Linked DNA regions of Nothobranchius furzeri. The protein of the gene in region 1 purifies or fractionates together with the protein of each later gene. This does not show direct contact. Links are inferred from orthologs where the notes say so. Each region holds a gene or a part of one and is shown on either strand. Other genes may lie near its edges.

Region 1 (3,514 bases):
TATATATGTGCAGTAGTATATAGTAGTATATATGTGCAGTAGTATATAGTAGTTTATTTGTGCAGTAGTATATAGTAGTACATATGTGCAGGAGTATATAGCAGTTTATTTGTGCAGTAGTATATAGTAGTACATATGTGCAGTAGTATATAGTAGTATATATGTGCAGCAGTATATAGTAGTATACATGTGCAGTAGTATATAGTAGTTTATATGTGCAGCAGTATATAGTAGTATACATGTGCAGTAGTATATAGTAGTATATATGTGTAATAGTATATAGTAGTATATATGTGCAGTAGTATATAGTAGTATATATGTGCAGTAGTATATAGTAGTTTATTTGTGCAGTAGTATATAGTAGTATATATGTGCAGTAGTATATAGTAGTATAAATGTGCAGCAGTATATAGTAGTATATATGTGTAATAGTATATAGTAGTATATATTTGCAGTAGTATATAGTAGTTTATTTGTGCAGTAGTATATAGTAGTATATATGTGCAGCAGTATATAGTAGTATACATGTGCAGTAGTATATAGTAGTATATATGTGTAATAGTATATAGTAGTATATATGTGCAGTAGTATATAGTAGTTTATTTGTGCAGTAGTATATAGTAGTATATATGTGGAGTAGTATATAGTAGTATATATGTGCAGGGGGGAAGAAATCAGCTCAACAGAAAAACCGAAGGAAGCAACCAAAAGCAAAAAGAAGGCTGAAGCACTCCAAGTGACTAAATGTTTAATAGGTGCAAGCACAAAAATGCTGAGAAGATACAAGCAGGTGTTGAGACGTTAGTCCTTTTTTGTGCTTGCACCTATTAAACATTTAGTCACTTTGAGTGCTCCAGCCTTCATTTTGCTTTTTTCATGCCATTGTTCTTTGCTGTGGAGCACCAACTGGTGACTGGATTATGAGCAATGGATCTCAGAAGTGATTCCTTCTGTCTGATGTTTGTTTGTTTGTTTAACCCTGTTCTTCTTAGTTTACCAGACAGCAATGCTCCTTTAACAGCTTTAATTGCTGATTGCAGTAATATAAAAGTCAGCGACTGGAGCTCAGCATCAGCTGTTTAGATTCACATTAAATCTTTAAATTTCTTGTTTGATCTGGAAGTTACCTCGAAGATAATAACTTGTGTGAAAAACAAATGGAAAACTCCCAGTTTGACCCAAATACAGAAAATTTGGGTTGACGGATGCATTTTTATTGTTCTAAGTGTTGAAATCAGCAGTACTGAGTATTTTTGTACACAACCCCCCACTGCCTGATGTGTGGAGTCAGGCTAAGCATCATCTCCTCCGATTCTTTCTCATTTTTATACAGATAATGAGAGGAAAAGACCAGATGTGTTCAGCGCTCTCAAACTGGGTGAGTTCTCATGAACTGGTGGAAACTATAAGAAAATAACCAGTGAGAAAGACAGCAGCATGTTCTGTAATTACTCAGGAAATTCACAGCTGGTCAAAGACATCCTGGAGGAGGATCCTGCTCAGGTGAATTCATCCAATCAGGAAGGAGCGTCTCCTCTCATGATGGCGGCGGTGAGCGGTCAAATAGAGGTGGTGCAGCTGATGGTGGAGAAGAATGCAGACATAGATAAACAAGATGGTGTTCATGGGTGGACCGCATTAATGCAAGCCACTTATCATGGGTAGGTGGAGGCTTTGTTTGCTGTTTATAGAAGCAACCTTAGGATGTAAAGACATCTGACGCTTTAATGCTTACTGTTGTCTTCCTCCTGCCTTCCCCAGCAATAAAGAAATTGTCAAGTACCTGTTGAGTCAAGGCGCTGATGTCAGCCTGCGAGCTAAGAATGGATACACAGCCTTTGATCTGGTCATGCTGCTCAATGACCCGGGTAGGTTTTCTTATTAAAGCTTTACTGATAAAACTGTGTGGGAACAAATATTATTTCTGTTTTTCACTTCAGTTCAAACTATTTGGAATTTTGTATTTTCATCACATTTAGCTTATTTAAGTACCATTTTATTTGTACAGCAGAGCACTTTCAGGCACAACAGGTGGGTTGTGCAAAATGCTGAACAGTAGCGAAAGCAGGATGACACATCAAACAATTAAAAGTTCCTTATAAAAACCACAAGGAGCCTAACACACACACACACACACACACACACACACACACACACACACACACGCGCACACAATCTTCATCTTCATTCCTTTTATGAGAATTCATGTGTTGCAAACAACGCAACATAATTCAATTCAAATTCAAAAATATTTTATTAATCCCAGAGGGAAATTTGTTGATAAAAATTACTAGAATATTTTATACTTTTTAAAATAAGTTTTGTATGTTAAATGTTCTTTAAAATGCATTCTATTCTTTTTTTAAGTATTTGTTCTGCTGTAATTTATATGGTATGTTGGAACTTTCTTACCCTCACCTATGGTCATGAGCTTTGGGTAGTGACCGAAAGAACGAGATCGCGGATACAAGCGGCCGAAATGGTTTTTCTCTGCAGAGTGGCTGGGCTCTCCCTTAGAGATAGGGTGAGAAGCTTGGTCATCCGGGAGGGGCTCGGAGTAGATTCACTGCTCCTCCACATAGAGAGGAGCCAGTTAAGGTGGCTCGGGCATCTGGTCAGGATGCCTCCTGGACGCCTCCCTGGTGAGGTTTTCTGGGCACGTCCAACTGGGAGGAGGCTTAAAGGTAGACCCAGGACACGTTGGAGGGACTATGTCTCTCACCTGGCCAGGGAACACCTTGGGATTCCCCTGGAGGAGCTGGCCAAGTGCCTGGGAAGAGGGAAGTCTGGGCCTCTCTGCTTAGGCTGCAGTCCCCGTGACCCGACTCTGGATAAGCGGAAGAGGATGGATGGATGGATGGATGGATGTTAGAATGTTGGAAAACAGTCATTTTGACATAAGTAAAGATTATATTCTGATGAACACTCAACGGCCACTTTATTGGGTATACATGTCGAATTGCTCGTTAACGCAAATTACTAATCAGCCAATCACATGGTGGCAACACGATGCATTTAGGCATGTTGATATGGTCAAGACGATCCGCTGCAGTTCAAACCAAGCTTCAGAATGGGGAACAAAAGAGATTTAAGTGACTTTGAACATTGCACGGTTGCTGGTGCCAGACAGGCTGGTCTGAGTTTTTCAGATACTGCTGATCTGGGACGGGTTTGAGCTGGTAGAAAGACAACAGTACCTCAAATAACCACTCGTTACATCCAAGGTATGCAGAAGAGCATCTCTGAAGGCACAACACGTGGAACCTTGAGGCAGATGGGCTAGATCAACAGAAGACCACTCCGGGGGCCACTCCTGTCAACTAAGAACAGGAAACTGAGGCTACGATTCTCACAGGCTCACCAAGATTAGACAATAGAAGATTGGAAACATGTCTCCTGGTCTGATGAGTCTCAATTCTGCTGCGACATCCTGATGGTAGGGTCAGAATTTGGCGTCAACAACATGAAAGCATGGATCCATCCTGCCTTGTATCAATGGTCCAGGCTGGTGGTG
Region 2 (3,992 bases), on another chromosome or scaffold:
TGAGCTCCAATCTGCACTTTTAAAAGATACATTTTCCTTTGTAACTTGATGCTATTGTCGGTTTTGCTTCTGTTAAAATAGTTAAATACCCAATTTTTTAATCTTTCCAGACCAACTATAACTGATCCTCCCTCATCTATTTACACCTGTTTTTATCCAAACAACAGAACAAAAGTAAATAATTTAACTGAGCCAGAGCCTGTCATGAATAATCCTCCTCCCATTAACAGGAAATCAAAGGGAGACCTACTGGCAGAAATCCGTCACCACAGAGACTGATGCAAACTTTTGTTCATGTGGCCGTCATGTCTTTGATTTTCAACTTATTAGAGCCAGCCAGTGTTCATCTCAATCACCTGATGATGCTGGCAGACTCCAGCATCATCTGATGATGATCGGATGTGGCAACAGAGAGGCGAGTAATAATTGGGTCAACAAGGTTTGTCAACTCCCACTAACTTTTATGTGGATCATCCTTCTGTTATGTGTAGGTACGACGTGTAATTCAGCTGTGATGGGCAATGACAGCAACATTTTACTGGATTCAGCTTTCAACAAACAAGTAACCTCAAGACTGATTGCTATGTGATATTTGTAAACACACACAAGTTAATATTTCAATTAATAAAAGTACTAACTCTTAATTGAGCTATCATGAGGTTAGAGTTAATTGGCTCAGTCTGGTGGCAGAATCCATTCAGCACTCTTTCATTAGGCAAAAACAAGAGATGATAAATGAAAAGTGACCTGCGCTTGTAAAGCGCCTTTCAGATTCAAGGGACTTCAAAGCGTTTTTACACTACAGTATATCACTCATCCATTCACACAATGATGGTGATGAGCTACGATGTAGCTACAGCTGCCCTGGGGCACAATGACAGAGGCAAGGCTTCACAGCACAGGCGACACCGGTCCCTTCGAACACCACCAACAGGCAAAGTGGGTTAAGTGTCTTGCCCAAGGACACAACAGAGCCGGAATTGAACCTACAACCTTCCGATTACTGGACAACCTGCTCAACCTCCTGATGCCCAATATGATACGCTGCATTAGTTGTGTCAGAAACGACTATGACGTTGTCACTGATTAATTGTTCCATTAAAACTGTGAACAAAAACAAAATTCAGATACATCGAGAGCAGGACTCTAGGTTAGCTGCAGCAGAACAATAGGTTTTCCACCTTAAAAAGGACAATGTTTTTACTAGAGATCGACGGAAATTGTTTTTTCTATTGCTGATACCGATATGTAGGAGACATGGTCAGCCGATATGTACTGCCGATTTTCATGGCCTACATTCAGACATTTTCGACTGTATTTTCATGATAAATTGTCATTAATAACATCAGGTGATAAACAAAATTTCTGAAGCTGAATCAGTTTTTGAACTTTGCATTTAACCAACTGTTAAATCTTAACTTTGTACACTGCTCAGTGTTAAAGTCAGACACCTAAAGTTAATTTAGAGTATTTATTATATAGATGTTATTAGTGAACTCAAAATTTAAATCAAATTCTGCAACAGAATTGGGCTGCCTGAGAATGCACCTGACTTTAAATCAGCTTTAACAAATATTGGCTGATGCCGATATGTAAAAAACTGTTATCGGACCGATTCATCGGCCCAACTGATATATCTGTCTACCCTTAGTTTTTACTTCAAGACATTCACTTAGTTGATAATATAAAATTACTGATGGATTCATTTGATAATGACATAATAATGGAAGAACAAAAATTATCCACTTGTCTGATTAACACATTAAAAAAAATGTTCAACTTAAAATGTGTAATTTAAAAACAAAGACATTGATGTGGTATAGAATAGAAAATAGAATAGACTTTATTGGTCCCACAGTGGGGAAATGTACTTGTTCCAGCAGCACCAACACTTAGGAGGATAATTTGAAGAAAATAAATAAATAACAAACGCATATGTATATACACATAGACAGTAAGCCAGTATTGTAAGTTTCAACCACTAAAAACCACGAATAAAAAAACTTGTTCTAGAACTATGCAGCATACTTTAAGGGACACAGACATGCTATGTAATGTTTGAAAGTTTGATGATATTCTGAGTAATAGTTTGAATTTAACAGATTATCCTAATAAGGAGTAAAATAGATATGAAAGCAGAAATCTACATACCGATGTGGTTTTAAATTATTAGGTGTGACGTCCGTGAAGCATGACAGTAAGTAATCGCTGTAAAACTTCCCATCACGTGTTAGCTACACGAATCTTGTGTTCCGAAAGTCAGGTTAAGTAAATGTTCTCCAGAACACTCATAAATGTGTTTATTAACGCTGACTGTCAAAGTTGTTTGTGCCACTTATGGTAGTTCAAGTTAGCAAAGCCACATGCTAGCTGAGAACAGGGAAAGCTAGTTAGCAAGACTTCGTACAAGTTAGTTTGAGTACCAACTCAAGTTGAGCTAAAACTAGTCACAATTACTGGTTTTATGTGGCTGTTAGTTCTCCAACAAGTTAAACACAAACTATTTATAGGAAGATGGAAGAGATAAGTTAGCTACAGTTTTGTTTAAGTCCGCTGTCAGTTAGTGCTGTCTCGGTACTTACCAGGAAGTGGGAATCTGTTGCAAAGCTATTCCTCTTTCACCTTTAAAACAACTCCTCCGATGGTCAAGGCGGTGTTGTTGTTGTCTTTTATTTTCTTTCCAAGGTCGCGACAAAAAGTGGACTGAACAGGCCTCCTTACTGCGTGGCGCTTTGCCTGTACACTACGAAGTTTTTTCTCGGAGAGCGCCTGTGCTGTGGAGTCAGTAGAGAAGTGTTTTCAGACAGACTCCAGCAGAAGGCCCCCCTCTCAGCACACTGCTGATCCAATAATGTAAACACCACAGCACTCCCGCGGGAACTCCTCAAGTACCGCGAGTTTTATCGAGATGAGCCAGTTCATCGAATGCCGACTGCAGATGCTTGTACTGTTTTTGAGACAGCGCCTTCTAAAGGACAAACGTGAAACTGCAACTGCAGATTCAAGACTAACTGCAGATTCAAGGCTGCAGACTTGGACACCGCAGATTCAAGCTTCTACAGTTTAACAGTTCTACATGAAAATGTGAAGTGAAATGTGAATAGTTTATTCGTTGTTAAAGCTTCAGTGAAGTAGCTCTCAGAATACAAATTTGATTACTCCTGAGTAACTTTTAATAAAAGCTTTTATCATATTTATTTAATTGAAGTTGTTTGAAGAAACAAAAACAAATTAAAAAAAACCTTTGTCCAACATTCCTGGTTCTGGACATCCTTAGATCAACCACCTCGTAACACCTTGATGGACCAAAACACATATGGCTCATGAATTCAATGCAGAATGCTGTGGAACTTTGCAATGATGAATTTAATACATTTTATTAAAGTAAAACTTTACGACATATCTCGGTCAACGAAGGACCCGGTGTCTAGTACCAACAGCTCTCTATTGACCAGAATCCTTCAATTGATGGAGCCCATAAATTTGGATACAGTGTTGCTGGGCTGGCTAATTGCAACGAGGCTGAAGTTAGCTTCCAATTCCAGCTTCCGATTTGGCAAACGGCTAAGGGGCCATTACACCCAATTTTTCTCTACTCTGACCATCTTTAATCTGCTCTAGCTCAAAAACTGCAACACCCACACTGTTCAAACCTGTTCTAGATTATTCTACTGTAGCGGAATATAGTTGGTATATTCTTACACTTTTATTAAGGTCCAGAGATTAATCTTACCTTAGAATCAGAAGAGGTTGTTTTTACCACAGGGAATTTTATTCAAACACTTTGCATTGACTTAGAGACAAGAAAAGAGAAATACAGTAATCCCTCGCTACTTCGCGGTTCGTTTATTGCGGATTCACCACTTCGCGGATTTTTTCTTTGGATCCTTATTCAAGGGAAATTCGCCGATTCGCGGTATTTTCACCGATTCGCGGTATTTTTCTGTCATGTTTTGGGGTAAATGTCTAACCCAAGACATACAGAATCAGAC

Evidence for each region.
Region 2: the proteins of ankyrin repeat and SAM domain-containing protein 6 (region 1) and nek7 purify together in Homo sapiens (affinity purification with mass spectrometry; 3 studies listed by BioGRID and IntAct, with this or other methods). This does not show direct contact. The link is inferred for Nothobranchius furzeri from reciprocal best matches to the Homo sapiens genes ANKS6 and NEK7.

The regions. Positions count from the first base shown.
Region 1 is NC_091747.1:36,736,535-36,740,048, reverse strand, and holds part of ankyrin repeat and SAM domain-containing protein 6, read left to right. Parts: intron 1-1,333; coding exon 1,334-1,378; intron 1,379-1,456; coding exon 1,457-1,661; intron 1,662-1,761; coding exon 1,762-1,868; intron 1,869-3,514.
Region 2 is NC_091748.1:66,087,412-66,091,403, forward strand, and holds the start of nek7 (serine/threonine-protein kinase Nek7), read right to left. Parts: upstream 2,806-3,992; 5' UTR 2,583-2,805; intron 1-2,582. UniProt on the Homo sapiens protein: Protein kinase which plays an important role in mitotic cell cycle progression. Required for microtubule nucleation activity of the centrosome, robust mitotic spindle formation and cytokinesis.